Linked DNA regions of Lytechinus pictus. The protein of the gene in region 2 interacts with the protein of the main gene of each other region in a pairwise test. Links are inferred from orthologs where the notes say so. Each region holds a gene or a part of one and is shown on either strand. Other genes may lie near its edges.

Region 1 (16,843 bases), on a different chromosome or scaffold from region 2:
CTATGTAGGAAAACAAAGTATAAAGATGTTTAAAAACTCCAGACAGATTTCAGCGGTCTACCTCATGGGCAACTCTCTCCGGAGGTCGGTTTTCCTGGATGAAAACTCCACGACCGACCGACCCCAAAACAAAACACACAATAGAGGAAAGTCATTTTACAAACAACATTCAAGAATATAAACCCTAAAAACTACCATGACACTGTATTGGAATTTTTCTGCAACTTATTTGTAACATAAGAGTCAATTTTGAACACCTACCAGATATTGCAAATTATATTCCATATAAAAAATGATGAAACCAATGTTGTGAAGACATGACCTGAAAGCTATAAATTACACATTGTTGTATCATATTGTACGTCTAAGTTAAGCTCAGAATTATCATTAGACATGTACTTCAGAGTGCCTCACAAAGTATATCAAGTTTGATAACCGGAAATCGTAACTGGTTTCAAGTGGTCATGATCGGTTCCGATTTGCTACCCTAGAAAATATCAACTTGATAAGGGTACCTATCAGAATCAGTTGCAACTAGTTGAAACCGGTTAAGACATACAATAATCAAATTTTAAACTCACTACTGCATACATCTTAGTCGAGTGGCTGGTTACTAACGATTCCATTCACTCATTATATTCAACAGTTCAGGTATGTGTTTTGGTTCGACAAACAGCATGAATTTTACTTTGCAACACTCGTGATATGCAAAGTGCCTTATCACTACAAACTGCATGAAACAAGTGAATGAAATCAGTTTTAACCCAAGGAATTCACCAAGATGTACAAGCAAATAGCATCAAGTTGAAGAAATTAATTGGTTGTCTCATGATAGATCAAACGTTTGCCAGTATTTTTTTAAACATCTTTTTTCACTCTGTGAGAAAACCGATTAATTTCTTTAACTTCATCCATTGCCACGATGAAATTCTTCCACATCAAGAAAATAGCAATTAATTTTTTTTGTGTGTGTTAATATACAGAAATTTGTTGATACCCCATGACCTCTCTGGGAGAAATCATGAGCTTGAAAGATTATAAAACATGAAATCTTATTGTGAGGATTCACAAATGAACTTATTCATATAAAAAAGTAAAATATACTGTGTATACGATATAAAGAGTTCTACAAAGGTATTCTCCAAGTAGGATGAGGTACTTCTCCCCTCCGAACGTAAAGGGGTCAACAAGAAGAGCTTAGAATATAACTCCTCTTGGTAAGCGGGATGAAAACAAATGCCAGTTCTTTCGCTGACACAAGTCCAAGCTGGCCTAAGCTGAGGGCAGCAGCAGGAAAAGTCCGGTAATAGATCAAAATTCTTGAGAATGTCTCCACACTTGGCTTGTCTTGACACAAAGCAGGTCTCCAGAGTCGTCCGTCTTTCAGAGGCCCCTCTTCTAAGATTCCTGCTTGGACGGCGCATCAAAGTCTCCAACCAATTCTAAGAACAGAAGAAAAATAGGAAAACCAAATTAAATATCTTGTACAAGGTTATACCTACACAAAAATTCTGATTAAAAAATGCAGATAATATAAACGGATAACAATTTTCGTAAAATTTCATTAAGACCATGAGCTTGCAGGAGAAAAATAACTAGTTCTCAGGGCATATATATAACTGCATTCTTCTTCCTCACATTATTTTTCTGCTACAGTACAAACATAAATATTGTTAAAACTTTTTTTATTTCAATGAGAATCATACCCAACACAAATAAAAATGTTTTTGATCTACTTTAGAACAAAAACAAGATTTCAAAACACAAGATCAGACTTGCAAATATTCAAAATGTCTGCTACACAGGCCAGAGTGTGTAGTGTGTTATATGTATAAAAGACAGAGATACTGTACAACACCAAATTAGTTCGTTTTACGTGAGCAAATGGGTGGTTGACTGTCCAACACTTGTACCGTTGCACACGTACCGTCCATAATGTACCGTTGTATGGTCAAGAACAAGGTGACAGTACTATAAAATTTGGGATTCAATGCATTGTACTTAATAAATGCAGGTACAATACATTACGTTTTACTGGCTAAATGCGCATTGCTGCTGCAGATCAGATGCCAGATTTTGCTTTTTACTTTCAATAACCCCTTCTTATTTTCATAGATTTACATTGGAAAATTTATTGTTCCTATTTTCCCTAACTTCCTAGGCTTTGTACAATGCGAATAGCGAATATTCTTATTCGTGCAATGGTGCGACATTTCGCATACGGTGAAAGAATAGACACTTAATTCAACTTGGTTACACCTCGTTGAATAGAGCATCTTTCGTTCACCTTACGCGAAATCTTGAACCATCGCACTCATGCCTATTTGCTTTTTGTATGTTTACCTGGTACATCCTCTTCTTCTTCATCAATAGTATCAGGTTTATCTGCCTTGCCACCTGTCTCTTCAATAGGGATACCATCACCAGGCTTTCCAAAACTTGAACTATCCATGCCCTGCAGAGGTGGAAAAATTAGAATCAGTCACAGCGGTATTGAAATATTAGAGATTACTGTAAATCTACTTCAAATTTGAGAATATCAGTAGTAGTGACTTGTAAGTTACCATGGATAACCTACTTTTTGAAACAGGGTCTGTGTTGGGTTCATGACATTTGCTCCGGCGACAATTGCCCCGATGGAAAATCTGCATGTCAAGCCAAACATAAAACCAAACCTCAACAAGTGGAATGCCTCTGGCCGTCTCACCTGCATCACGCGATTCAATATAGCAGCAGTGCTGATTTTGAAAACTACTATAACTCGCACAAGATGTTCAGTGATACTTGGTTACTCTTATTTCCACGTTTTATGAACTAGACCAATACACTTATAGAGATATGATGGCAATTAAAAAAATACCCCCAACGTGGCCAAAGTTCTTTGACCTTACATGACCTTTGACCTTGATCATGTGACCTGAAACTCGCACAGGATGTTCAGTGATACTTGATTACTATTATGTCCAAGTTTTATGAACTAGACCAACACACTTTCAAATTTATGGCTGTAATTCAACAAATACCCCAATTTGGCCAAAGTTCATTGACCCTAAATGACCTTTGACCTTGATCATGTGACCTGAAACTTGCACAGGATGTTCAGTAATACTTGATTACTATTATGTCCAAGTTTCATGAATCAGATCCATAAACTTTCAAAGTTATGATGGTAATTCAACAGATACCCCCAATTCGGCCAAAGTTCATTGACCCTAAATGACCTTTGACCTTAGTCATGTGACGTGAAACTCATGCAGGATGTTCAGTGATACTTGATTAACCTTATGTATAAGTTTCATGAACTAGGTCCATATATTTTCTAAGTTATGATGACATTTCAAAAACTTAACCTTAGGTTAAGATTTTGATGTTGATTCCCCCAACATGGTCTAAGTTCATTGACCCTAAATGACCTTTGACCTTAGTCATGTGACATGAAACTCAGGCAGGATGTTCAGTAATACTTGATTAACCTTATGGCCAAGTTTCATGAACTAGGTCCATATACTTTCTAAGTTATGCTGTCATTTCAAAAACTTAACCTCAGGTTAAGATTTGGTGTTGACGCCGCCGTCGCCGCCGCCGTCGGAAAAGCGGCGCCTATAGTCTCACTCTGCTATGCAGGTGAGACAAAAACTAAATAAACCCTAATCCTTTTCTTTATATTATTCCAAACCAAAAACTATATTACATTCCTAACTGTACCCCTATGTCCTCTAAGATATCAAGACCAGGGCAAATGTTGCAGGAGCAAATGTCGTGTGACCCTATGTTGACTTAATCAATTGGGCTTACCAATTGATTCATGATACTGACCAATCACATTTCAGAATTTTGGTAGCTCATTACAATGACTTGTAAGTTACCAGTGATAGCAAGATTCGTGAAATAGGAACAACGTTGACAAGTTGCACTTACCAATTAATTTCATGATCATAGTGACAGTGACCAACGAAATTTCAGAATTTCATAACACGGGTTGTGTCATTGATAGAAAGGTTTGTGAAACAGGGGTGACGCTGACAAGTTGGGCTTACCAACTGATTCATGATACTACATGACCAATCAAATTTCAGTAGTTCATAACAAGGACTTCCAAGTTATCATCGATAGCAAGCTTTGAGATACAGGAACCATATCGACAAGAAGAGGTTTGACTTGCCAATTGATTTGGGATACTGACGGTGACCAATCAAATTTCAGAATTTCAAAAGTGGGTAAATTGCCACTAATAATGTGATTTGACATCCATATTGAATTCAAAGAGATTGGAATTATCAGATTTCATAATTCCAGCAGCTAATAACAATGACTTGTAAGTTGCTATTGATAAAATTTAATTCGAGGACCATGGAAGAGATTGGGCTTCGACATTGATAATTGATTTATGGTGCTGACGGTCACCAATCAAAAATTTCATAATTTCAGTAGCTTATAACAATAACTTGCAAGTTGCTACTGATAATGAAATTGATTTGAGGTGCATGCTGACTGGAAGAGATTGGACTTACCAATTGGTTCATGATACTAGGAAGCATATCTGTAAGCTGCTTGTTCTCTGCATGCCCACTGATTGCAAACGTGTTGGCTGCTAATGATGCCTGTACTTTAGGGTTGTTGAAATGAATCACAGTTCCGTCATCTTTGATCATATTAACCTGTTGGGGAAGATTTGAAAAAGAGCATCTGGAGGAATAATAGAACATTGTGGCCAGTTTAAGGTGTGCTTTATTATCCATCAACTATCTTTCCAAATGGTATCACGGAGGCTTTCACTCAAACCTCCAGAGCTCCACTTAAGTAGTCGTCTGGAGCTTCCGTCAAGGTTAAATGATGTGAATTATATGTGTAGTGATTTTTTTTCTCCCAAATGTCTTTTCTTAAAGGACAAGTCCACCCCAACAAACAATTGATTTGAATAAAAAGAGAAAAATTCAACAAGCATAACACTGAAAATTTCATCAAAATCGGATGTAAAATAAGAAAGTTATGACATTTTAAATTTTCGCTTCATTTCACAAAACAGTTATATGCACATCTTGGTCGGTATGCAAATGAGGGAGCTGATGACATCACTCACTCACTATTTCTTTTGTATTCTATTATATGAAATATGAAATATTTTGATTTTCTCGTCATTGTCATGTGAAATGAAGTTTCATTCCTCACTGAACACGTGGAATTCCATTATTTTAACATTTTGTGCTTCAGGCAAGGAGGTCCTAATCGTCAAATTCGTAAAAATTGAAATATTGTATCATTCAAACAATAAAAAACAAAAGAAATAGTGAGTGAGTGACATCATCGACTCTCTCATTTAGATGTAACTGGCTCGTTCATATAACTATTTTGTTAAAAATAAGCGAAACTTTGAAATGTCATAACTTTCTTATTTTACATCCGATTTTGATGAAATTTTTAGCATTGTGCTTGTCTGATTTTTCTCTATTGATTCAAATCAACATTTTTCTGAGGTGGACTTGACCTTTAATGAGAATTTGCAATTTTATCTTGTGAATAGGCTAGCTCCCTCACGGTGTAATGTTTTCAAATTTTTTTTTGGCAAAGTCTTTTTAAACATTACCCTTCATAGGGTAATTTTCAAAATTCTTTAATAGCGGCTTTTCACACTCCTGTGTGCTGAAATAAAGAAAAACAAAAATAATTTTTCATGTAGGCCTAAAACTTTCCTTTTTGGTCAAAGGGGAAGAATATTACTTGAAATTAAATGAACATATACTTACCTCTTCAATACCAGGAATATTATTTACAGCTAATTTCTTTAATGATCCTTGTAATTTCTTGTCGTCTGTGGTTGTGGATTTGTGGATGACTTTCCTTTTTCTCCTGGCGGTGCCTTTGCCACCTATTCTGACTTCCTTTTGGATCTTTGACAACTTATCAGCATTCATCTTGACTAAATGTGGTGAAGAACTGAAGCTCCTAAATTTGCCAACTCCTTGTATCTAATATGCAGAGTATGGAAAGTAAAAAACGTGATTTCAGTAATGTGCGTATGCTTGTAGTCAATGTTCATTGACCCTAATGACCTTGGTCATGTGCTAAAAACTCACACTAGTATAACAGCGATATTCAGGGACTCGATTTTAAGGCACGCGAGAGCGATCGCGAGCCTTAATCCATTTTAGGTAACGCGCCTCGCGATCGCTGAGCTGCGCGGAAATGCCTTAGGTCGCCCTCGAAATCACCCAAAATCATGCTTTCGGGGGCGACATAAAATCTGAATGTCGCCACCGAAATTATTGCCGAGTGATAACAACTCAACGGCCCACTAGTGCCATATGCTCGAGCTCCGCTTACCATTTAAAAATCCAAAATCCACACTCAAAATCATGAATAAGCCTTGAAAATAGCAAGCGCAGTTTCAAATTCCAAAGTTGCATCTTTTTTATTCTGTACCACCTATTTCCATACACATGGTACCAGGTATGGAAAAAAAAAATCAACGGTCGGGAAACAGTTGCATGTATCCCTGGTCCATTATGACTACCACCATGTGCAATTTCGAATGCACATGTTTCCCCTACAGATATCACAATTCGAATTACACAGAAAATAAATCCCTGGTCTAGTAACCTCGCATTGGTGAGTTGTCATTCGGCTTTGCTTTTCAAAACAGCCTATTAAAGGAGAATGAAACCCTTGAAAACAGCTGAATCCATATCAAAGAGAAAAATCAAAGAAACATTTTGTTGAAAGTTTGAGGAAGATTGAATGAGTAATAAGAAAGTTATGAGCATTTGAATATTGAGATCACTAATGCCATGTAGATCCTCCCATTGGCAATGCGACCAAGATCTGTGATGTCACACACGTACAACTCCCTCATTGCTTTAGTACTTATTTCACTTATATTCTCACTTTTATAGAATCTATCACAAGGTGAGGTGTTCTCTTTATGAGAGGACAAGTACAGAGGTTTCACAACATTATATCATTGATGAATCGTTTTTCATATGATTAGAATGAGCAAAAAGAGATGTTTTGGGGTATATTTTCAGTGTCCAAAAGGGGAGAGTTGTTCATCTGTGATATCATAGATCTTGGTTGCGTTGCCAATGGGAGGATCTCCATAGCATTAGTGATCTTGACATTCAAATGCTCATAACTCTTCTATTGTTAGTCCTATTTTACTCAAACTTTTGTTGATCTTATTCTTTGATTTTTCTGCTTTCACAAAAGCTAACTTGCTCCAAGAGTTTCATTCTCCTTTAACATCCAAAATAAGTTACCTTATTTATTAATTATAACTAAAAAATCATGTTTTCTTTTTCTAGGGGATGAGGTAAATATCAGACAATAAATCATCAAACAAAGCTCCATCTATTTTACAAGGCCAGCGGCAGGCTCACGCACGCACGCATTGACCCTTGTACTAGCTAGCCAGTCTGAGCTCTGTCTCTCTAGCTCTGGGGGACAATTTGCTCAGTAAAGGCCTCAATGATGGTGATTTTCTGTTTCAGACAGAGTTTACATTTCAGGTATATTATTCAAAACTGCCAATAAAGTTTAATGATTTCTTCATTGTCATGTATATTTAAGTTCTTAATGAATACATTCTCACCAAATTTAGACTCCCCCATAGAGAAATGCAATTTTCATGGAGATCTGCGTTTTCAAAGAACTTCACGAAAAGTTAGGGTATGTGTAGCCAGGCGGCTTCTTGAGAGTAAAAATCATTTACTAACGTAGCCGTAGGCTTACTCTCAATGAAGCCAGGGAGTCCTTCCTATTCACCTACACGAAGGACCCCAAAACCAGTAGAGGCGCACTGCCAATATTGGAGACTATCTCCAATGTGGGAGATTATCTCCAATATCAGAGACTTTTGTAAAGAATTTTGGTATCCAATTTAGAGACAGTCTCCAGTTTTAGAGTCCAATTTCCTTTGTTTACATTTGCTGCAAAAGGATTACCTTGGCGGCAAATAAAAATGTGGTAAGCAGATTCCTCATGAAAAATTACCCCTTTTCACTGTCTACTTTTGTTTTTGATAAGGATTTTTGTTGTCAATCACACACAAAACAAATGGGCTTCTGACCTCAGTGAGACAAAATTTTGGGTAGAAAAAATCATGCTTTTGTTGGTGTTGTTTCTTTTGTCCTTTTGCAAAGCAAGTCTCCAAGTCCAATGTGGGAGATCGTCTCCCATATTGGCCGTGCGACTCTACTGAAAACCTGAAACGGACGCGAGCGTCGCGTAACGTTGGGGAAGTACAATAAGAAACAAGATGGCGGCGTAAACATCGGGCAAGTCTCTTCCATCTTTTCACAATATTTTTTCACTTTTTTGATGAATTCTGGTTTAAAAATAACGAGAGCGTAGTCGTAGAAATGTCGGAAATGAAGTTTTATCCCAGACGCGTGCGTCGGGTAACGTTGGCGAAGAACAATAGAAAACAAGAAAGTAGCATTCAATTTAAATAAGAGCCCCCGAAATTTGACAAAAAATTTAAAATGGAGCCCTCAAAAATTTTTTTTTTCCCTTTCTTAGTACGAGATAGATCTACATGACTGTCTAGAGTGGGCCCACGCTCCCGAGTCATGCCATTCCATGGCGATATGCGCTGCATACCTGTGCACTACATGACGTGCATACATCAAACACTGCCTGCTCTGGGCCGGGGTGATCGGCAGGGTCATTATGCGACGATGCGCTCACAAGCCCTGCAACTGCGCTGTTCTGTAAAACTTCAAGATCATAAATGCAAACTCGCCCAAGTCACATTGCATTGGCATATTACAATTACAAACCGAAAAGTTTCTACTTTCTACAAATGACAAATTAAAATCTTGGCAGGGTATAGATTGAGCTTTAAAAGCATATACAGAATAAGTTTAAATTTCATCATAAAAGTACCTACAAATATTGATAATAAGTCATTCAAATAAGATTATAACTCACCGGTATATAGACCACGAGGCTGCATACACCAATATAAAATGGAAGAATGTGACGTCATCAGACTTTAACTATTTCTTCAATTGAGTTTTACAGTTTCGTCAATCATTCATTATTATTTATGGCAAAGGGTTTTAAATCATTAAAAAATTATTTACAATTTTAATTAATATATCAAACAATATTTTTGTATTTTTAATTGCAAATGTAATAAAAATTGTTCATACAAATAAACTTTTTGAAAAAGCCTACATGAATATTAATGCAATGAATATTCATGTTGTAATCAGAATCTGAGATATTCCATCCCGGAAGTAGATCTTGTAGAAGATGATATATATACGAAATATAAAGCCAATTCAAAATCTATTTTCTTTAAAAATATATTGCTTTGCGATATGATTATTATTGAAATTACTTAGATAGTATGTAGCATATAGCAGTCCAGCTGCTTTTCGAAAAATATGGTATTCATCTGTGACCTTAAAACTGTAAGTACAATCAATGGAACAGCTGGCGCGCCACCAATACAAAGTAACGCGCGAAATCTTTCCTGCAGCTGATTCAAAGATCCTTATCGTAAAAAAAAAATCGCCTATTACGTGATTCGCCCGATCGGTAATTGCAGAATCGAGCCTTAAAACGCTTTAAAAAAACCGTTTGTTCCAGATATGAAAGCTTTCTTCGAATTTTCTGTTCTTCTACAGTTTATTTGGCATTTCTTCTTTAAAAAAAAAGTAATACTGAAAATGTCCCCATGTAAGTTCGGCAAAGACCTGAGGCAGCACCTGAGAATAGAGTCTTGTTAGAGTGACGGGCTATATTTGAGGGGAAGTTCACTTTGACAAAAATTTTATATTCTACAAATAGCAGAAAAACAATAAATAAATATTGCCGAAGGTTTGAGAAAAATATCAAAGAATAAAAAAGGTTATTGGAATTTTAGATTTGATTTCTTGTGACGCAATAATGCGAGGCTTGCGAGCAGATTTCATATTGGGTGAAAGCATATCAATGAAATGTCATTGTCTCAGAAAATCGAAAATAAAAAAAAACACGGTTTTCTACGGCTTGGTATATCAATAGACAAATCATTTCACATCCGTTCCTAAAAAATGCACGAACCATCAAAAAATTGAAATCTATTCATTTTATATACGGGGCATCTGCTCGACAAATCCAAAACTATATAACTGAATAATAAATGAATTAGTTTCCTGGAACCTTCACCAATATTTTTTATTGTTTGTTCTGCCGGCTATTTTACAACAACCTATATAGCTAGTTTCTTCAGGGTGTACTTCGAACTTTAATGTGTGACGTCATAATGTGCGAGCATCAAGTTTCAATGGAACTTGAGATGAATACAAATATTTTTCTCATAGAAAGGAAAAAATGTTGTGATGATACATTTACCACTATGAATAAAATCCCTTCTTTTTTAAATGACTTTTAAGTGGGCGAATTTAAAGTATGTATCAAAGATAAAAAAATTCAAAAATCACAACTCCGTCCGCGTATTCTTTGATAATGTTCACCCTTCATCCCCTTCACCAATATTTTTCTGATTTTATAATAAAACCAATCCCCCGGACAAATCCCCTTCAGAAGATATTTACTTCCCATATAGCCCGGGGGGGGCCACTTACATTGACGAGTGGATACCATGCGCGACCAAGAAAACACGTAAAAAGGATGTCTTTTTCAAGATAGGGCACGTTACGTACGTAACGTGATTAGGGTGTCAAAAACACAAAAATAATGAAAAAAGGGTATCTATTTCGCTAGGAAAGCTATCGTGTTTAGGGTCACATTTGCGGGGATGATCAAACAAAATTAAAATGTTGTATAAAGGATGTCCTTTTTGCCCCAACACTACGTGTTTAGAGTCCCGATTTGCGCGAGGTGAGGAAGGTGGGGCCATACTAAACCAAATGGTGTGTAAATTAGATAAAACCGACGACCGCCGGACCCGTGACACAACAATAAAATATCGCTGTATACTTGTTTAGGGGTTCATTTCAGGGAATACTTGCCAAGAGTATAGTTTTGTTTCCAATGCTTGTTAAGGGTAGGGTTTCAGACGCCAATATACTTGTTAAGGGGTGCATTTTCAGAACATGGAAAATACGTGTTTAGGGTGCTTTTCGAGACCCCGTGGTCGCGCATGGTATCCACTTGTCAATGGAAGTGGCCCCCCCGGGCATATAGCCTGGGCCAGGCAATGCATGTCAAATAGTTGGTTCGAAGGTCAAACAGACGGCTTAGAATAAAAAAGGTCTATATAAAGATCATGAGGCTAACGTGCGGCCCCTCAAATCTATAGACTTTGAGCAAGTTTCAAAAGGCCAAGATTTAAAATCTCTGATTCTGTATAGTTCTGAATAGATTCCCGGAATAGTTTAAATAAAAGTCAAAGTAAAGAAAGAGAGAGAAAAGAAGAGTGGTGAAAATCCATAAAGAATTATTTTAATTTGTGGTGTCACAGACGAGAAACCATTTAAATAAGGCCCCAACTACACTGAATTTCCTCATGATATTTGAAAGGGATACCGAAGGATCGCGGCCCATAGGCCTACCAAGTGGCGGACCGTGACCCGCGGAGGAGACAATGATTGGAGGGGCACTTGTTTGTGAACAATGCTGTGCCCCTCCAATGCTTTGTCTCCTCCGGGTCACGGTCCGCCACTGCCCCCCTTTTAATTCATTATTTTTTTTTATGTATAGGTATGTTGGCCCTAAAGGCGTCGTAGGGCTATCCTATAGGCCTATTTGTATATATCATCATTGAACACAGGAAAGTACTTGAGTATATACTGACAAGTAGGCCTACAGGTAAAATAGATGCTCAGTCATGAATAATATAGGCATACAATGTTTAATTTAACTTTTTTTTTACTGGGAGTACATCTGCTGTCCGATGCCAAAGCCATCACATTTCCTTTATAAGGTTAATTGTTTTGAGTTCATTATGCTTAGGTCAATCCGTGGTATAGTTTCATCTGGGTCTTCCAATAACATTATTTACATGATGTTAAAACGAAAGCTAGGCCACTAATGAATCATCCAACTTGATTATCTTTTTTATTCAAATTTTTTTTAATGGAATTTATACATGACATGCTATATAGATTTCGGGCCACTGGAGTCTCATTCTTCGACGGATTTTCATCGAATCTTCTGTGAAAGTCTTTCACCCATTTTTTCCCTTCTTCTTTTCTGCTTTTCATTCAAATCTACGTATCGTCGCGTCCGGGCATCGATCTCCCCACTAACTTAAAGGGTATATGGGCGTAAAGGGGCGTAAACGTCCCGATCCTGCGATTATTTTGATCACAAGCAAAATCTTACTTACACGTACCGGTAGGTACGAATTTCGTTCAACAGAGTTATCTGGGGGCGACTCCTTTGTTATTCCTGTAGACGATTCGAGCCCGTACATAAAACGTGCAAAACATTCATTGAAATTTTCAGGAGATCGAGTTTGTTCTATCGAAGACAATTCGTCATTCATTGTAGATCCAGGACAGACTCCCTCCTGAATCTGATATTCACATGTGTGATATCTTGGTCTTGCGACTGGGAGGGAATATTATTTTGACTTCATTGCATTGAAGTCGAAATATTAACGTTTAATTTTGTTGTTGACTTGGTCTTTGTGACGTTTTGTCGGCAAGAAACTACGCCGTGGCGTAGGCGGAGGCTAGGCTCGAGCGCCCGACTCCTAACTTAACTGTTCACGGATCCTTTCTCAGGCACGGCAGGAGTTTGGCAGTGTAGTGACAGTCAAACATATACACACTTCTAGGCCTCTGTCACTGACTCACATACACTCGCTCAGTATCAGAGAGAGCTGCATGCAGCTTATGCTTATTAATTCATGTAATTAGCCTTTTGCTTTGGACAGTGAGTGAGCTAGTAAGAGTAAAGTTAGACCTGTCATTGTCAAAGACAAAGTCAAAGCCTGATTCTGAAGAAAACAGAAGGGGTAACTGTAAGCTGGGGACATCTTTCTGCTTCTTCGAATGTATGACAGTATCGTCGGCAGGTGGTCATCTTGACAAACTCCAACTCGAGTCTTCAATTAAAGTTCAGAGTCGAGTCAACTGAGAAAACTTGTTCAAATCACCAGATCACTCTATCCCAATTAGGAAACGCTAAGCCTGGTTAAAGACGGTTCAGTGGGGAACATTTTTTCTTGAGCAGTCACACACAAAGTCTAGACTACACAAAAATGCTTGGGACGGAAGAAGACAAACCTGGATCAAGTTCTGCTGCTGAAATCGAAGAGGTGGAACAAGAAGATGCCGGGTGAGCTGAGCAGCATTTTTACTTTTCAAAATTGGCAATGGCATGCTTAAAAGTTGGAGTAATTTTATTAAAGATGACTTAAAGATTTTTAGCTGTCTCTTGCATTTATAAATCATCAACAGGTCAAGTTTGGCCTCGTAGTCAAGAAACTTTTATCATGTCTATAATTTTATTTAAAAATTAAATTCTAAAGGTCAAATAGAATGACTAATTATGACAAATCAGTAGGGTCTAATAAATTATTGAACATATACTAACCTCGCAATACATGTGAGTGACAAAATGATGAAGTAGCCAAATTGGACTTTGGTTTCTTGTCGTTTGTTTGGATTGATGCTTGGAGTGATATTTGATATTCAGATTTCATTTGTCAATTGAATTCTGTATGATGAGTGACCTATTACATTATTTTTCTCATTTCAGCCCTGAAGACGTTGATGCTGAAGCCTTAGAATTGATGGGCCAGGGGAAGAGGAATCTTGTGGTTGGTGACCCTCCAGCTGCTGTCCAGTGTTTCCAAGAAGCTTGTGAACTGCTGTACGATTTATCTTATTTCAGTAGATCCCCCCCCCCAAAAAAAAAAAATCAATTAAAAAAACATGGTTTATTTCTTATTTTATCTGAAAGATCATCATTATCTATTAAGCATATTAACATGAGACAAACTGACCTTTTTTGTCTGTCCAAAATTGTCACCTTCTTTCAGTTTTACATCTATAGATCTACATTTAATGATTTTTTTTTAGGAAACAAGTAATTTTTATTGATTGGTCATGTACATTATTCCAAGCCTTATAGCTGGTCTACTTAAAAAGAACAATTCCCTTGGATTGAGAAAATACTTTGATTACTGAATTCAAAGGTTGCAGAATGCACACAAATCAAAATATGAAGGAAAATATTCCTTTGAAATTCAAGAGTTGTGTTATTTTAGAGGTCTGTGATAGAATCCTAGTATTCAATTAATCTAATGATTTTAGTCTTTACTCCATTTCTTGCAGACCTACCCTTATTATTTTATACTAAATCAATTTGATTACATTAATTCTAACATTACAGAGTGAAAGTGTTATTCTTTTTAGTAGATAAATGTAACTACATTTATATCCCATTGTGTACTGAAACTGGGTGGTCCGTCATCGAATCTATGGAAAATGAAGATTTCAGAATCCATTAATTCAATCGTGTATATATCTTGCACATTTAAATTGCAGGTCATCTAAATATGGCGAGACTGCGGAGGAGTGTGGGGATGCGTACTATCAATATGGATGCTCCCTTCTTGAACTAGCGAGCATGGAGAATGGTGTACTTGGCAACGCTCTGCAGGGGGTCCCAGATGATTCAGCCGACTCGGCAGATTCCGACGAAGAAGGAGAAGGAAAGCAAAGTTGCACTGGAAGTAGGGTAGAAAGTGCAGACCAGCTAGAAGGTAAAATGGTTATTGGTATATCTTTATAGAGGATGGCTCAAGTTTATTTTTCATTGGAAATAAAGGACAGCTCATTTGCTATCTTGCATGTACATATATGGAGCATTAAAAATATTTTTAAAAGAAGCCCCGATTAATTCAATCTTTACAATTTAAATAGATAAAATGTTAGATAAAATCAACCCACTCTTTTGAAATAAAGTAATGGATAAATGCAACTGAAAGGAAAAGAGCAATGTGTAGAATTCACCCAAGATTAGATAGATTTGGATAAGTGTAGAATTAGCTGGAGGTGATAGATTACATTCCCTGGTATTTAGATGGTCAGTTTATCAATGGTCATTCACTGGGGATGATTGAATTCTACACTGTCTTGGATCATCCAATTTGAATAGGATGCCATTTGCTTTGTCTATTTAAAAGGAATCTAAAAGAATTTAAATTACAGTAATCTAAAGCGCTTATTGGGTGTGTCATTGACTTGTGAATTCAAGCTAAAGCTTCTTGAAACTATGAGCCATCTGCTTCTTTATTTAAACAATCAGTTGCTTCCATTTAGACTAGAAAATACTCTACTGAACAATAGGTTCAAACTAACAACATTTTTGCATACTTGGACAATTGTTCTCTACATCCAAAGAATTTGTCAAGTATCGTGACTAGTAAATTTATGCAAACTGGATTCTAAATAGTTCATTCATAGAAACAGCTTCATAGAAATGCCTCGTTACAAGGTACAATTACAAAGGATCTTTGTGAATTTTGATAGTCTAGTCTAGTGTACATCTACATTCAAACATTCTTTTGCTTGAATACAAGATTTTCTTGGTTTCTTTGAATGATGAGATCTGTAGTTCATGACCTTGATCTTTTCTTTGCTTGAAGTCATTCAAGCTTTTGTTAACATTCTTGCTTTCTCCTGGGCTTGTGAATTGATGAGTGCAGTTTCACTTTTAGGTGGTTAATACCTCAGTCACATTTGCTCTACGGCGGCCGTACGGCAAGTTGAAAACAGCCGTTTATCCTTTTTTTTGTACCAGCTACATATAGATAGTTTGAATAAAAATGAATAAAACTGCTGTTTTCGACTCGCTGTAAGGCCGCCGTAGGGGAAATGTGACCGAGGTATAAGCATGCAATTCTAGAATCTAACACTAATTTGTCTGATTTCACATCTTTGGGAGTGTTATGCTAAGATTTCTTTGAATGGAATGTACATGTAAGGCTTGCTGGAGAAGTTTGATGTTGAAGATTCAAATTTCTACCATGCATCCAGTACATTTTTTTTATAGATCGTGTATATCTCATTTACTGATCGCAAGCCAGAAATTTGTTTCTATCTAATAGAAATAATAACTGTTAGCTACATTAATGGAGTTATTGTATATTGCCATCTGTCTTCCGATGTTATTAATCATCTTAAGATATCTTTTATCTCGGAATTTGATATTGCCTCATGACTCTATCTGTACAGGTAGTGGCTTTTGGGGAATTTTCTACTTTCAGTTTCAGTACAGTATTAATGCAAGGGTATTTATGTCAATATGATAATTGATAAAAATAGTAATGAACCAGTCATCTTTCCCCTATTGAGAAACGGAAACAAACTCAAATCAGAAATGCATTTGTCAATTTGAGTACTTAGGCCTATAAGTTTTATGCTGAAGCTAAGCACCGAAACAATAGACTTCTAATCTTCTCTGCTAAATCCAAAATTTCTAGGGCAATTGTATTTTAGAAGGTATGATCATTAAGCACAATTCCAAAATAACTTTTCCATTGTCCAAACACTTAAATTATCTCTCCTTCAGCCAAAGAACGAGAAGAAGTGATACAGCAAGTTAAAGATGCCCTGGAGGCTAATATTGAAAGTGAAGAATCGGAGAAGGAAGATAAGGAAAAGGAAGGGGAGGGGGAAGAAGATGAAAAGATGGAAGAGGGTGGGGATAACAAGAAAGAAGAAGCTACAAAGGAGAAAGACAAAAAGAAAGAAGAGGAAGGGGAGAAGAAAGATCAAGAGAAGGTAGTTGAAGAAAAGGATGAAAAAGAAGAAAAGAAGGATGAAAAGAAAGAAGCTGCAAAGAAGGAGAAAGACGAGAAGAAAGAAGAAGAGAAGAAAGATCAAGAGAAGGTAGTTGGAGAAAAGAAGGATGACAAGAAAGATGTAGAAATGGAAGT
Region 2 (17,796 bases):
TACCAGAACTGGATATTAAAAGATTCTATAGATTAAATTCTGTAAGTATAATGAGAGCCGAATTAACAGCAATGGTAATGGCACTTGATTGGCTAGGAGCGTCCGTAACGTTGGGGAAGTACAATAAGAAACAAGATGGCGGCGTAAACATCGGGCAAGTCTCTTCCGTCTTTTCACAATATTTTTTCATTTTTTTAAAATGAATTCTTGTTTAAAGATAACAACGAGAGCGTAGAAATGTCGGAAATGAAGTTTTATCCCATGAACATGATTTAGGTCTAGATCTTTTAGAAGGAAAGTAGAAATCTCGGGGGTGAAAGTTTCAGGTTTTGGCTTCCTTTGTGTGGGTCTATGAGATAGAAGCCCTGGCTTCGTATGAGAGTAACCTTACGTTAGTAAATGATTTTTACTCTCTAGAAGCCGCCTGGCTAGGACAAACTGCGATGCGAAACCATGCGCTGAAGCCTGAATCTGAATCATGAAAAAAAAATGGCTCTCGAAAACTGAAGTGAAAATGGCTCTGGTAAAATGAAAATGGCTCTCATTTTTTTTTTCAAAATGGCTCCCTAAACATGCTAAAAATAAAAAGTTATCTCAACACGACAATGCGTTATCCCACTCCCAGTATGGTTGAAAGTACCCCTTATCGACCACCTAATCTTCTAAGCATCGTATCTGCGAAAATATTCATCAATTGTACCCAGTTTTCGTCTCATTTGTGCAGAAAATTGAGCAGATCAGATTCCCATGTTTCGCTCGGCGACTCCGATTCAATCCGCGTACATATCGACGAACAACGAATACGACGATTTTACATTTGCTTATTTGCACCCGTCTTTTGAAACCGACCACCCGCGATACATTAAGTTTACGGCCGATTCTTGTCGCGGTGGCGAAATATTTTTACTCTTCCAAATCAGTTCTATGATGTCAACATGCTAAATGATCGTCTCACTACTTCCACTGCGAGCTCCGGCACATGATTCGACGATTGACGACGGGTATTTGTTCTTAAGCGGTTTCCTATCGGATTTCTTGGTTTTTCAGCGGGGTTTGGGTCTGGTCAATACAATTTTGATTAATTCTAGTAAATTTTTACTTTTTGTTCCTTCCTTTTTTCTCGTAAAATCGATTCATACTGTTTCTATGGACACTGCGCCTACTCTCCCGCGCGTATCGTTTGTAATACGCAATAATTTTAACGCGCGCAAGGTGGTCGGTTTCAAAAGAGGTGGTCGATATGTGGTACTGGTAGTAGGTATGTGCGAATACGGGCGCATCGCGAGCGCTGGTTTTGGCTGCACGGTTTTCGCGCGGGTTTTGCTGCAAGTGGCATCGCCTCTGTCTGGGCGGCTCATCGAAAATGGGGTTTCATGCACATGCGCACATAGTTGATGCAATCTCGTGCCTTGATACAGACAGTTGAAAATGTGCTCTTTCTGTACATATAAGTTTCAATGTGGATACTCGCCTGTGAAGTGTGGATATCGGAGCTTGAAAGTTCATCAAATTTTTGGATGCGCAAATGATCGAAATTTTTTTATGGTAAGTAGAACTACGATCCAATTATGTATCTAAATTGTTTTAGAATATATTCAAATCTACAAAAAATGTCAAATCAAAAGATTCTATCGTGGAGCAGTCCAGATATAAGCGAAGCGAGCTACCCTTGTCACAGCCGGTCTCTCAGCAGTCGAGCTGCCCGATGCGGTGGGCTCCCGACGGTCTTTCGGCAGTCAAGCTACCGGTACCCGATGCGGAGGGCTTGGTGACGGGAGTGGTCGATAGTGAGTCGTTCATGCTGGATTGAACTGGATCTAAATTGTTCACTTGATAATATTGTGCCTTTTTCTGAAAACGTCTGTCATTATACCGTAGATTGTTATTCTGATATTGATTTAATTGATTTAATATTGATTTAAATATATACATTTTGTCACAAAAACATTCTTTCCTCCTAAGGTTATAGAGTCAACATGAACATGTTTTACTTTGATTGTTCAATCATGTTTTATCATTTGGAAACTGGATTATTTTGGAAGTGGAATATTAATGTTGACTTATTAAATTAAAATGCAAAATCTATAGTGTTTTTTTTTTTCTTTTGTAGAAAAAAAAATATTTTGAAACTTTTCAATCATGTTTCATTATTTTGAGACTGGATTTGCTTTTGAAAGGGGAATATCATAAATGTTGACTTTTTAATTAAAATGCAAAAATTATGTTTATTTTTTAGTTTCTTTTTTTATATATTTTTTAAATATTTTTTTTTGGTCATATTTCAATATTTGGAGACTGGATTTGCTTTTGAAAGGAGAATATCTTAAATGTGATTTTTTTATTAAAATGCACGAACTAGATGTTGTTTATTTTTTGTTGTTGTAATTTTTTCACTCTTATGAGAAAATACATGAAAACTCAGAGGAAAGGATATTTCATTTCCAGATGGGTCTAACTCCTGTATTTATGTTTTCTTTATTATTAATTGTACTATTTATTTTTTTATTCACTTTTCTTTTTTTAGGGGTGCAGGTGGGGGTTGTGTTTTGAATTGGAAAATGGGGATGGGATTGGTACAAGTTTTTGTGTCACTTTTGTTTCTCTTGTTTTTAGTGCTTGTTTGGAGCTTTGATGTCTGTTTTGTTGTTGTTTAAAGCTTTGTTATATATTTTTACTGGTTGTTTTTTGTTTTGTTTTAAAAGAAATAGACCACTCTTTTCCTTTTCTTTTGGCTTCGACTAATAATTTGAATTTATTTTTCTTTAAAAAGAGAGCTCAAACAGGGCCTTTGTAATACAATGTATGTATACAAATCTAAGAAATTGACAACTGATAGAATATATTAAAACTTCATTTTCGTCCTTCTTGATACTTGAAATAAATTGCATACAATTCTACATACATATTTTACACTCAGCTGCTCATTCCTTCTAAAAAAATGTAATCACATGTCCATTGTCTCTCAAATCAAAAGCTACATATTATAACAAATTGTTGAAACAATAGAATACATAAGGAATTGGTGAAACAATCAAATACATCAGAAAAAAACACACATATTTTTATTTGGTCATACAAAGTACAAAAGAAATTTTTTATATGTAAAAAAGGACCCCCGTACATACAAAATTACAATACTAAGTTGAAAAAGAGCTTGTAATTTATATCAGAAAAACAATGAAATACATTAGAAATTACAAAAACAATACTTTAGACAAATTTATTAGGAAATTATCTACATGATGATGTTTTGATGCCAACTAAATTATATTAATTATCTATCATAATCACCTTCATTTGGCAAAATAAAGAGGCGAGTAATTGTGATTTTCTGTTTGCATAATTAATTAGAATTAATTAGAAGAAATTATTTTAAACAGAATAAGAAAGATTACAAGATGAATTGATGCACATCAATTGAGCCTTCTCTCACCTTTTCATTGATACCTAAATTACTTCATAGGGCTAAAAAACAAAGAAGTTAGAGCCTGTTGAAGACTTGGGTTCAAAATGGTCACAAAATGGTCACAAAAATCGGTGCTGTACTCCATTGACTTTACATTAAGACAATGACCACAAATTTGGATGAATATGTGCGACTTAAACTGGAATAACATTATAATTTCTTGATGAAAATTAAAGTTCTTGGTATCATTTTAAAGGTCTTTTTAAGAGCTTTCAAGTGATACCAAATTTATTCATATTTGATGATTTTCATTTTTTTTGTCACATACCTACTGGTAGTCTCACCATACGACAATAGTACCGGTAATAATAGTATACACCAGTCACCAGACGTGCAGACGGTGGACTGTAATCAGTAGAGGCGCACGGCCAATATGGGAGACTCTCTCCAATAGGGGAGACAATCTCCCACATTGGAGACTTGCTTTGCAAAAGGACAAAAGAAACAACACCAACAAAAGCATGATTTTTTCCACCCAAAATTTTGTCTCACTGAGGTCAGAAGCCCATTTGTTTTGTGTGTGATTGACAACAAAAATCCTTATCAAAACAAAAGTAGATGGTGAATTTTTAAAGTAGACGGTGAAAAGGGGTAATTTTTCATGAGGAATCTGCTAATCACATTTTTATTTGCCGCCAAGGTAATCCTTTTGCAGCAAATGTAAACAAAGGAAATTGGTATCCAAAACTGGAGACTGTCTCTGAAATTGGATACCCAAATTCTTTACAAAAGTCTCTGATATTGGAGATAATCTCCCACATTGGAGACAGTCTCCAATATTGGCCGTGCGCCTCTACTGGTAATACTGTTTCCAGAAGAAGAAGGAGAACACTGTCTCCAACTTCATTTGACATAGAACTAGATAATGTTGTAAATCGGATCAAAAATCAGATCGAAAATCGGATCGGCAGTTAAGCTTCTAAAATCGAAATCGAATCGAAAATCGAATCGGCGATGTTTAAAAACAAAGGAATACATCAAAATGTTGTTCGCGGTCGCGCGCATCTTCCTGACAAAGTCACAAAGACGAATGCATTGGAATGGAAGTCGCCAACATGCGCGATCGTTTGGAACATGTTTTAAAGCCAGGGGTTTTGAGGTGTTATTGCTTTAAAATAAACCGAGTGATTTTTATTAGAAAGATAAACGAAAGACGCATCTTCCGAGCAAAGGCGCAAAGGAAAATAAAATGAAAATATTTCTCATAGATCACAGGTTAATGAACGATCGGCGGGACATCTTTTAGAAGTATTTTTAGGTGCTAGCGATTTAGAATTATTGGAATGATCTCTTACGACGCATCATCTTAAAGTCGCAAGTGCAATTAAAATGAAGTAGACGACGCAAGCACGCACGATGATTTGAAATATGTTATTAAAATGTTTTGGGTAGCTAGCGTTTTCAAATCAATTTGAAGTTCACGGCGGGGTCCGCTATCACCACGAGGTTGAAGAGAAGATGTCTATCATCATAAAGGGGGTAAGAGAGTAGCGCAGTGAGCTCCGTCGGTAATACGACCTTTCAAAGTTCACGGCGGCTTCCGCTATCACCACGAGGTTGAAAATAAAATGAATATCATCATAAACGATGTAAGAGTAACGCAATAAGCTCCGTCAGTAGCACGATCTTTAAAAGTTCACGGCGGGGTCCGCTATCACCACGAGGTTGAAAATAAAATGTAAATCATCATAAACGATGTAAGAGAGTAACGCAATGAGCTCCGTCAATAGTACGACCTTTCAAAGTTCACGGCGGGGTCCGCTATCACCACGAGGTTGAAAATAAAATGAATATCATCATAAACGTTGTAAGAGAGTAACGCAATAAGCTCCGTCAGTAGCACGATCTTTAAAAGTTCACGGCGGGGTCCGCCATCACCACGAGGTTGAAAATAAAATGTAAATCATCATAAACGATGTAAGAGAGTAACGCAATGAGCTCCGTCAATAGTACGACCTTTCAAAGTTCACGGCGGGGTCCGCTATCACCACGAGGTTGAAAATAAAATGTAAATCATCATAAACGATGTAAGAGAGTAACGAAATGAGCTCCGTCGGTAATACGACCTTTCAAAGTTCACGGCGGCATCCGCTATCACCACGAGGTTGAAAATAAAATGTATATCATCATAAACGATGTAAGAGAGTAACGCAATAAGCTCCGTCAGTAGCACGATCTTTAAACGTTCACGGCGGGGTCCGCTATCACCACGAGGTTGAAAATAAAATGTAAATCATCATAAACGATGTAAGAGAGTAACGCAATGAGCTCCGTCAATAGTACGACCTTTCAAAGTTCACGGCGGCATCCGCTATCACCACGAGGTTGAAAATAAAATGTATATCATCATAAACGATGTAAGAGAGTAACGCAATAAGCTCCGTCAATAGTACAGTCTTTAAAAGTTTCTGGCGGGGTCCGCTATCACCACGAGGTTGAAGAGAAGATTTATATCATTATAAACGATGTAAGAGAGTAGCGCAGTGAGCTCCGTCGGTAATACGACCTTTCAAAGTTCACGGCGGCTTCCGCTATCACCACGAGGTTGAAAATAAAATGAATATCATCATAAACGATGTAAGAGAGTAACGCAATAAGCTCCGTCAGTAGCACGATCTTTAAAAGTTCACGGCGGGGTCCGCTATCACCACGAGGTTGAAAATAAAATGTAAATCATCATAAACGATGTAAGAGAGTAACGCAATGAGCTCCGTCAATAGTACGACCTTTCAAAGTTCACGGCGGGGTCCGCTATCACCACGAGGTTGAAAATAAAATGTAAATCATCATAAACGATGTAAGAGAGTAACGCAATGAGCTCCGTCAATAGTACGACCTTTCAAAGTTCACGGCGGCATCCGCTATCACCACGAGGTTGAAAATAAAATGTATATCATCATAAACGATGTAAGAGAGTAACGCAATAAGCTCCGTCAGTAGCACGATCTTTAAAAGTTCACGGCGGGGTCCGCTATCACCACGAGGTTGAAAATAAAATGTAAATCATCATAAACGATGTAAGAGAGTAACGCAATGAGCTCCGTCAATAGTACGACCTTTCAAAGTTCACGGCGGCATCCGCTATCACCACGAGGTTGAAAATAAAATGTATATCATCATAAACGATGTAAGAGAGTAACGCAATAAGCTCCGTCAATAGTACAGTCTTTAAAAGTTTCTGGCGGGGTCCGCTATCACCACGAGGTTGAAGAGAAGATTTATATCATTATAAACGATGTAAGAGAGTAGCGCAGTGAGCTCCGTCGGTAATACGACCTTTCAAAGTTCACGGCGGCATCCGCTATCACCACGAGGTTGAAAATAAAATGAATATCATCATAAATGATGTAAGAGAGTAACGCAATAAGCTCCGTCAATAGTACAGTCTTTAAAAGTTTCTGGCGGGGTCCGCTATCACCACGAGGTTGAAGAGAAGATTTATATCATTATAAACGATGTAAGAGAGTAGCGCAGTGAGCTCCGTCGGTAATACGACCTTTCAAAGTTCACGGCGGCTTCCGCTATCACCACGAGGTTGAAAATAAAATGAATATCATCATAAACGATGTAAGAGAGCAACGCAATAAGCTCCGTCAATAGTACGATCTTTAAAAGTTCACGGCGGGGTCCGCTATCACCACGAGGTTGAAAATAAAATGTAAATCATCATAAACGATGTAAGAGAGTAACGCAATGAGCTCCGTCAATAGTACGACCTTTCAAAGTTCACGGCGGCATCCGCTATCACCACGAGGTTGAAAATAAAATGTATATCATCATAAACGATGTAAGAGAGTAACGCAATAAGCTCCGTCAATAGTACAGTCTTTAAAAGTTTCTGGCGGGGTCCGCTATCACCACGAGGTTGAAGAGAAGATTTATATCATTATAAACGATGTAAGAGAGTAGCGCAGTGAGCTCCGTCGGTAATACGACCTTACAAAGTTCACGGCGGCTTCCGCTATCACCACGAGGTTGAAAATAAAATGAATATCATCATAAATGATGTAAGAGAGTAACGCAATAAGCTCCGTCAATAGTACAGTCTTTAAAAGTTTCTGGCGGGGTCCGCTATCACCACGAGGTTGAAGAGAAGATTTATATCATTATAAACGATGTAAGAGAGTAGCGTAGTGAGCTCCGTCGGTAATACGACCTTTCAAAGTTCACGGCGGCTTCCGCTATCACCACGAGGTTGAAAATAAAATGAATATCATCATAAACGATGTAAGAGAGCAACGCAATAAGCTCCGTCAATAGTACAGTCTTTAAAAGTTAATGGCGGTGTCCGCTATCACCACGAGGTTGAAGAGAAGATTTATATCATTATAAAGGGGGTAAGAGAGTAGCGCAGTGAGCTCCGTCGGTAATACGACCTTTCAAAGTTCACGGCGGCATCCGCTATCACCACGAGGTTGAAAATAAAATGTATATAATCATAAACGATGTAAGAGAGTAACGCAGTGAGCTCCGTCGGTAATACGACCTTTCAAAGTTCACGGCGGCATCCGCTATCACCATGAGTTGGAAGAGAAGATATCTATCCCCTTAAACATTGCCATAGATAATACCGCGACTTTCTCCCTGAATAATGCGACCTGTAAATAGCTAGCACCTCAAAAACAATCTTGAAATATGTTCTGAGCGATCACGCACTGTAACCAGATCTACGCCGATTTTTTATTTTCGATTTTTTCCTTCAAGCCAAGGGGCATGATCGAAGATCGGCAAGTGATTGCCGATTGTGGTGAAATCGAATGGAATCGGTTACAAGCTTAGAACTAGATCTAGGCTTAACTCAGTTTATTCCCAAGGCAATAGACACGCCCATTTATCGGCGAGAGCTAGAGTCGACCGCGTCGATGAGGCATCGACGCGAGCCGTCCGTCGCGGCATAGCCCGGCGCGGCGGTTGTTCCGATCACCGTCAATCGTCAGTCTGAGTCTGACTGAGACAGAGTCAATGCAGTCCCACTCCCAAAACACATATATTCAAGTTTCTTAACATCAGAATACAAAATATATCAAAATCTCACTTTGTATATGCAGCACCTATGTCAAAGATAGCAGCTGTCTTCTCTACCCCAACGCTGAGACCCTCAAAAAGTGGCATTTTTTCAATGAAAGTTTCCCGACAGTGCAGCAGTCCGAGGTAAAATACGTGAGATTTTTAATCACACACGAGTACGAGTACGACGTACGAGTGTAAAGTCACGTACCGATCGACACGTACGCATGATCCTTCAACGTCCTAGCTTCAACACAAGCTGTTGTACAAAACGTAATCGCGCATGGTATTAAATAGTCTTTTTTTAAAGCCATATCTGATCGATATGAATAAAAAGAAAAATATTTTAATGGTTTTACTTCCAAAATTGTTTCGAAAAATAATGTTATGTTTATAGTAAGATATTTATCAATATAAATTTAGGTATGTAGTATTTCAATAAAAACTGTACGATTATTGATTCCAAATTTCACTCAGCAATCTCGGTTTGCTATTAAGACTACATACCGTATACCCAGTTGTTGTGTGTCCGGACAGGTTGTGTGTCCGGACGATCAATTTTAGACATAGAAAGTCATTTTTAGACTTAGAAAGTCATTTGGAAAAAATTACAAGCGAAGTTTCATCAATTTTTAGTACAAAATGTTAGGAAATATTATAAAGAACAAAAGAGAAGATGATTAATAAGTATTGAATTCATATTTTTAGTGTAATCCAAAGACAAAAAAGAAGGCTTCAAAAATATAAAGTGTCCGGACACCCGACCCCGGCCCCCCATCCTACTTACCTCCGAAAATGTACCAGAGAGAGTGAAGCGATACCAAGACCAAGTGCAGCTTACCGCCGGAGATTCCCGACCCGAGTTCATCGAGAGACCGTTACCATAAATATCGGTGCGCTTTCGGTGGACGCGGACATGGACTCGACCTCCGACGTATCTATGCCTGCAACCCGACAGTCGCGATCCGATGGTAAAGTTCAGTGGTAATAGACAAGAAGAAGATATCCTTGTCATGTCAAGCCAGTCGATTATCCTACATTGTCACTGACTGAGACTGAGTGAGAAGGCTGAAATTTGGGGTGACGCTGAATTCAAGACAGGATAGTCAGCTAGGAAACACAGTGCACAGGGACAATGGATATGAAATTGAAAAAGATTAAGACTTGCAAGAACTCAAGTACAAAATTAACTAGACTCTCTCTGATATTGATAACTTTAAGTTTAGTTTTTCTACAAATATGCATGAAAATTCTTGCTGCATCTCCATCATCTGCTCCAAATTCAAGCCGTTGTATATTTGATGAAGTTCAAAAGCATCAAAACATTGAGACAACTCTTCTAAACTATCGGGTTCCTGGTGAGTATAGCGCAGTGCCCTGTTGTAAAAGAATTCAAATGACCACAAACTTGACATCTGCACTAGTCTATTGTCCAATAGACATAGTTACTTTACATGTATATTCATTAAAGAATCTGACTCAAATTGGTGAAAAAAACAATTGATGTAATGGCCTCACTACTCACAACTGCACAATGCAGTTTAGTCTTTAGAATTGATTTTTGGTCAAAAATTATATAGGCCTATCTAGAATCTTCCAGATCAAGGTCTAGATCTAGGTCTATCTCTACCCAGACCCAGTTACTTATTAATATCTGAACAAGTGAACATAGTATTTTCATTCTGGATGTCAGAAAAAGTTTAAGATTTGGTTAAAAGCAATTTTTCATAAATAATAATTATTGGACAATGCTAGAGAGTGCAGGCACAATTATCTATGCTTTTTTATTTATAAATATCTTGTGAAATCATGAGGAAGAATTTTTCATTTTTTCAGGTAAAGGAGGACATTTGTACTTCTTTATTTTTCATGCCAAATGATGCAAATATAAATTGTGTAGGTACTACATGTAAGTGTTCTTAGTCAGTAGAGGCGCACGGCCAATATGGGAGACTCTCTCCAATAGGGGAGACAATCTCCCACATTGGAGACTTGCTTTGCAAAAGGACAAAAGAAACAACACCAACAAAAGCATGATTTTTTCCACCTAAAATTTTGTCTCACTGAGGTCAGAAGCCCATTTGTTTTGTGTGTGATTGACAACAAAAATCCTTATCAATTCAAAAGTTGACGGTGAATATTTAAAGTAGACGGTGAAAAGGGGTAATTTTTCATGAGGAATCTGCTTATCTCTCTCTTGTATCCTTCCTCCGTTAAGGTCGGAGATCGCTGGTAACAGTTGAAAAATGTAGACACTTCCTAAGAGTTGTTAGAGCTGGTGAAGTTGCTGAGGAGTTTTCGGCAGGTTGTGTGAAGGTTGCGAATGAAATATAAAATAAGTGTGTGGAGCTGGGTTTTGGTGTCATTACTGTGGTGCACAGGGGGAAGAAAGAGAACACATTCTAGGAAACACTGAGGGTCTGAATCAAAGAAGCCTGCAAATCACATTTTTATTTGCCGCCAAGGTAATCCTTTTGCAGCAAATGTAAACAAAGGAAATTGGACTCCAAAACTGGAGACTGTCTCTGAAATTGGATACCCAAATTCTTTACAAAAGTCTCTGATATTGGAGATAATCTCCCACATTGGAGACAGTCTCCAATATTGGCCGTGTGCCTCTACTGTTAGTAGAGGTGTGACAAAGTGAAAAGTTATTGTGCTAGGTCAAACACTTTCATGGTTTTATTCTGGTTGAAAGTTAATTATAATGTTCTGTGAATCATTCAAAATTAATGTTGGACATGATCTGTTGAGAGTCTATGAGGACTATCCATAGTGTGTGTTTTTTGTTGTTTTGTACCTGTACATGTACAAACATACATTTTAGTGTGTGTGTGTGTGTGTATTTGAGTTTTGTCAGACGTGTATCAATCAGATTATTTACGTCTGGGACCGACCTTTAACGTCACCCTCCGAAAGACGTGACCAGGGCTCAAACCTCTGCATCAATTTGTAACTTCCACACAGCTTGGATTACAGGCGCATGCCACAACTCCCAGTTAGGCCTATATCAATTATCAGAAATTAATTATTAGGGTTTTTTTTAAGTTCAGTGACTCCACACACTTAACCCAAATAACTTGAGTAATAGAAAAATTAACCTCAGAATATAAACCAATGTTAAAAGTAACTTCTTTAGTCTTTACCTGTCCTTACCTTCTGTAAATTTTCTAAACAGTTGGTGTAAGTGCAAAATCAAAAAGGTCATTGGAAGGAGATATCTACCAGCCTATCAGAGTGAAGACTTTTGTTCAGAATGTGGAACATCTTAAAGACTCAGTGCAGGTCGAGAAGCTTGAGACCATCATGGCTGGTGCAACATCTGTTATTCAAAAACTGCTGTCAGGTATGGGGATAGAGAAACAATGCCACCATTCAAATTTATGCATATTGTTTAAAAAAAGTTGGTTCTTGACAACCTCAAAGATTGTCAGATGCTCGTGAGCTGTAGAAACAAGAAATGTGTACCAACTGGATTTGAAGAATTGAAGTGCATTTACTTTTCTAGGGTAAAGGAATCCAGGAATGAACATAACCAAGAAATTTACTAATTTATGAATCAGTAGTGTATTGAAACTCCCCTCGTGAGCCAACATAATTCTGCTTTTTCTTAATATTTGATAAGTTCTTATTTTGGGCAGATACTTTGGCTTATTTTGATTTTGCTTAATCAGTACTATGCATACACATTTCTAAGTGGTTGCTATTTATGGTGATTTTTATTCAGCATTTTTTAAAGTTAAACTTTATGTAACAAATAGGGATGACATTTAAAAAAATATTGATGAAGAAGTTAAAACTACACTTGATATAATATAACCTCTGAAAATAGAATTCGTACACTTCTGCAGTGCATATGAATTTGAACTTTCAGGTGACAAAATTATTGATAAGGCACAAATAAAATCATATCAATTGTTCACTCTTATACTGTGTCTGAATTCTTAAAGATATGTTTTCTATTCTTGATTTGTATTTATTCATTGTATCTAACCAGTTTTTCCTGTTGAAGGCCCAATGGTAATTGATAGATCTGAAACAGCTTGTAGAACTACATATAATGGTGGACAGAATGATGGAAAGTAAGTCCCTTGCTCTAAAAAAATGTAGATGACATTTGACTCAATACAAAGTATCATCATCTAGAGGAGTTTCATTAGGAACTACATGTATCGTGATGAATGTGCCATTGAGTGAACATCTGTTTATTTTTCCAGAAATATGTACTGTAGGATCAGTCAGTAGGCATATATTTTATATTTGTATATATAGTAATATAAATGATATGTTTCTAGAATGTTACCTCAAGGTAATAAGGCAGAAAGTGTACTACTTGAAGTTTTGATTTTTACTTTTGGTCATATTGGTGATGATTGCTTATATTTTAACCCGCATAGAGAAGTAATTGTTAGATACCATTTGTTTGTGTGTGTGGGGGGGGGGCATGTGGAAGGGAGGGTGAGGCTTGTGACATGAGTCCTGTTGGCTGTTGCATAATAGTTAATTTTATGGTAAATTTGCAAATTAATGGTAACTACCATGGCAACACTGCTCAACAGCCAATCAAAATTAAAGATTCTATGAAAGCTACAACTCAATGGCAAAGTAAGCAACTCTTTTTTATGTAATAGGCCCATGTTAGTTTAATCAAAGGCCTGGGATATTTATGTGCCCATTTCCAATTTTTACATTTGTTTTGTGGTGTAATATCGAAATATACATTTTAGAAAAGTTGCTTTATCTTTGAAAATGTTGAAATTTAAGGCCTGTAATGATGCTTTTCTTAATGGTATTCTATTTATAATAATCAACTCATATTATTGTAAATTTGTATTATTTCAGGTGTGCAGAAATTTCACCAAATTATAGAGAGCAGTGTCTAGATAATTTTGAGGTAAGGATTTTGCTCTCCAAAAGAATTCTTTGACATACATGTATATGATGATCAATCAAATAAAATTTAGGATCGATCCTTAAGTTGAAAGTGAAAATGATTTTCTATTTTGTTCATATATGCATCCAGTGCATAGATTAAATTTCTGTAAATATTTGAACATTGTTAATCAATTAACCAGGCCTGTAGTAAATACAAAATATTGCATTAATACTGCTTTACTGTATTTAAGAACCACAGTTCAGTTTTATTGACATTTACATGTTTATTGTTTATTTGTTGACAGATTCCTGCTGATCATCTAGGTGGTCTGTGGACATGGGATGCTGTTAACCCAGAGCCTTCAGTCACCCATTATGAGGAAGGATCCGGCATTCCTAATTCTGATATCGTGATCTATGTTAAGGCTGAGCATACTGAGCGTTGTGATTCAGGGGTGAGTCATTGTTCAGGCATCTTATGAACTGTTTCTAGGACACTTTCCGTACTATATATCCATGATAAATGTACTCTCACTTTATTAGACTTAAATGAATATTATGATATTTCAATAGATATAATTTTAAATGAAGCAATACTGACTTTCAAATGTCAATAAATGTAACAGATGCATAAACAATGCATTCAGTAATTCACTGAAAAGGTTCATCTGATTGGTATGATGGCATAATTAAATGCAATAAATAATTTCCCAGCTTGATTAAAGGGGGAAGCAAGAAGGAATATTGTATCAATGAGGCTCATTTTTAATTTTTTAACAGTGGAGAAATATTTTGATAATGTTTTTTTTTACCCTTGATTTTATTGATAGGATGTGTTTGCGTATGCCTCCTACTGCAAGCAGGATCAGTTTCTCAGACCTATTGCTGGAGTGATCAATTTTTGTCCCAACCCTCTACTGAGTGGAGAATATGATCAAGATAAGTTTACCCTGGTAAGTCATACAAATTGATTTTCATTAGGAGTGTTGCAAGAAGGTGTTTGTTATGGATTGCAAATAATGATGAAAGTTAATATCTAATGCAGATTTACAATTGATCAATCAGTTTTAATTACCGTTATAGTTAATCAATATGTAATTTGTGCTGTAAGAAGCCAACATATAATCAATCGATAGACTTTAGATTAATTTTTTTGCCTAAAATATATTTCAATTCATTGCAAAGGTCTTGCTATGCTCCCTATTTCTAATTCAATTGAAAAGTTGACTTAATAGTTACATGTAGTATGTAGATGAGCCTTAGATTGCACAAGTTTGTACAAATTTACTCCATTTAAACACATTCATGTAATGGCAATTAACAATTTGGATAGCAACATTAGAATATACCTCTGGTATAGCTTTGAGGAAATATCTAAATGGCACTTTAATGGAAGTGTGATGTCACAGACATAATGTTGATTGCTTGAACAAATGACTTCGTAAAACATCTCACATGATAGTGATGCCTGTTTTGACTTTCTACTGATTTTCTCCATTTTTTTAAGTTAGAGCGTATAATGAACAGTGTTCATGGCATCCTTTGAAGTGCATTAGTAGTTTCTTTAATAAATAGTCTTTCAGTTAAATGTAAATCATTTGTGAAGTGCTGAAGTATTGTTATATGTGGTATGTTTGATTATGGATAAATGGGTTATACCCTAATTAATAATTTCAATTACCTCAAATTAATAAAATTTCCAAATGGGCTTGCATTTCTGTCCAATTCAGCTTGCCTTGCATGAGGTATTTCATGTCCTTGGATTTTCTACAAGTCTTTTTGACCAGTTTCAAGAATGCAGTGTATTTGGTAAGTTACATTTACTCTTAGTAAATTAGCTATATGCAACTTAGAGACCGTCTGTAAAAAAATTGTATACAGGCACATCCCCACATATTGTTTGAAACTGCTGCTTTCTTGTCATCTTATTGATTCATTTTTAAGGGGATGGGGTGGGGCAGAGCATGGAGAGTTGATGGTCTTCACTGAATTTCCATAACTGATGTTGAAAGTGTACATCACATAATGTACACCTGGATCTTTTATGAGGATTAAAAAATGAGAAAAGATAAATATTTTTAGCTTATAAATAAACACAATTATCAGATGATTGATATGAAATGAAAGAGAGAGGGGGGGGGGGGGGTGGAAATAAAACAATAATGTACTGTGTTTTGATGGGGTGGGTTCTCATCCCACCGCTGCCACTAGTTGTAAGGTGTAAAATTATAAGTGTAGTCAGGGGTAGAAATGATATAAGTTCACAGCAGCAAACAGAAATCAATCAGCCAAAGGGAAAATAAGTGAAACTGTAGAGGATGCAAATCAATTGAACAGAAACCGAAGAAGTCTGGTTGTGCTCTAATTTAATATGTGGGCTAATTTGCCCCAGCTCAACTCAGAATCATAGTATAATTTACAAAAATATTTAAATTAGAAATAACAACCAACAAAACGAAAGAGAATGGAAGGATCAAACTAAAATGTAAGAACTCAATTCATAAGATAAACCAATGAGGAGATGAAGATGATGAAGATGTCTGGGTGATTATATGGGAATAGAAACTAAGGAGTCAGGTGAGGAATGTAATGAGTGGAACACCTGAATAGAAAAGGAATGAAGATGACAAAAGAGAATCAGAAGAATGGAATTCAATGTGGAGAAGGATGAATGGCAACTGAATATCATTTAACTCAACCTTAGTTCAGACTGCAAGGGCAGTGCAGAAAAGAAATGCAAATGAACTCAAGTCTCGACTGAACAGAAATGTAAAACAGCTGAAGAAAGCACAATTTAAAGGAAATAAACATAAGAAATTGACAAAATAAGCATCCTACAATAATTTGAAATATAACTGACATAGTTTTTCTTTATAAGGTGAGGTGTATGAATACTTATTGATGAGCACTAGTTGAAGAAATATTTTGTTTTGTTAATATCCATTTGCATTATGTTGTTTGTTTTCTGTAGAAGGTGAACTACAGTGTGAGACCAGGGATGATGTAGTGAGAGTAGATGCTATGGGACAGTCAAGACTTCACACCCCAGCAGTTGTGGCTGCATCTCAGGCTCATTTTGGATGCTTTGAAGAGGAAGAAAGAGGTGTTCCTCTTGAAAATTTGGTAAGAAAATAATGACTTATGTACAATGAGTTCTTCCTTTGAAAATTTGGGAAATATTTGATGAGTGTCTTTTCTAAAAGACTTCACACTTCTGAGATACACATCCCAAACCTATCTTTTCTATTATGTTGCTGCAATGCAGTGGGCTCTTATGGCAGATGCTACTGTTTTAAGAAAACAGAAATTACATGATTCAACCACAGGAAGCAATTGTCCCTCAATAAATTTTCAAGTGATTGCAGGGGAACCAACACACACATGAAGGAAAAGAAAAAAAACCAAGAGTATAGAAAAGATGTTTTGGTCATGTAACTACGCAATACCCTTATTTATAAAATTAAAACGTACCTTTCATGTTTTTAAAATGTTGATCACCCCCCCCCCCCCCCCCCCCGTCCCTCAATCAAATTTAAAATCCAATTACCCTGATGCAGTGTATTTTGGACTTTATTCATGAGCATTGAAACTTTTATTTGTATCCCTGTACGTTGTGATGCAGTTAATTTTTCTCTTATTTGCAGGGTGGAGAAGGTCTCTCATCTCACTGGGAAACAAGATACATGTATGGATCGGTCATGGCTCCTGCAATCCTACAGGTATAAACTCACATATCATTTCTTCATTATTGATATCTTGAAGCCATACTCAGTAAATGAAAGGCTTTGAAAGATATGGATGTAGATATGGATGATTTAAGTTCTGACATCATTTAGTTTAGCTAACCAGACATTGGGAAATAATGGAATACAGAGTGAATCCAGAATATGCTGAAAATTTGCAACACAGCACAAGTTAGAACATGTTGTATTATTTTTGTTAGAAATGGTTCCCTCTAAATGATACACAGCCATGCTTAACTCATTTCTTGCATAATCATTGGGTTCATACAAATACTTTGGTTGTCATTTTGTTGGATTATGTTTAAATTCATTTTCATAGCTTTAATTACCACAACTAGAATTTATATTTAATGGCCCAAAATTTTGTTTATTATTCTGTATTATATCGCCAGGAAGTATAACCTTGTGTTTCCATCTAACATGATATTTTACAGAATAAGTATTTGAAATAAAATGATTCCAAGGATTAATCAGATACAGCCCGACCTCTCTTATCCGGCCTCCCCTTATCTAGCCTCCCCTTATCTGGATCTCTCTATTATCCCGACGCACACTTGCAGAGATTTCTTTTTTTTTTCAATCTAGTACGTGGCCTTGGGGAAATGAGATTTCAATCTAAACTCAAAATTCCTAAGCAAACTCACTTTCATTACATACATTTTCCAAGATGGTCTACCTACAAACACCCTATATTTTATGAAAATA

Evidence for each region.
Region 1: the proteins of actin-related protein 10-like (region 2) and transcription factor BTF3 homolog 4-like interact in a two-hybrid assay, tested with the Drosophila melanogaster proteins (2 studies listed by BioGRID). The link is inferred for Lytechinus pictus from reciprocal best matches to the Drosophila melanogaster genes Arp10 and bic.

Annotation. Positions count from the first base shown.
Region 1 is NC_087255.1:22,429,859-22,446,701, reverse strand, and holds the start of transcription factor BTF3 homolog 4-like, read right to left. Parts: upstream 9,459-16,843; 5' UTR 8,926-9,458; intron 5,967-8,925; 5' UTR 5,913-5,966; coding exon 5,745-5,912; intron 4,659-5,744; coding exon 4,512-4,658; intron 2,456-4,511; coding exon 2,344-2,455; intron 1,443-2,343; coding exon 1,399-1,442; 3' UTR 1-1,398. Other genes in the region: histone-binding protein N1/N2-like, read left to right, coding at 13,157-13,233, 13,657-13,770, 14,448-14,665, 16,477-16,843.
Region 2 is NC_087251.1:11,804,070-11,821,865, forward strand, and holds the start of actin-related protein 10-like, read right to left. Parts: upstream 8,579-17,796; coding exon 8,502-8,578; intron 1-8,501. Other genes in the region: ciliated left-right organizer metallopeptidase-like, read left to right, coding at 9,609-9,831, 11,652-11,819, 12,471-12,555, 13,316-13,367, 13,654-13,803, 14,179-14,301, 15,079-15,157, 16,320-16,471 and 1 more.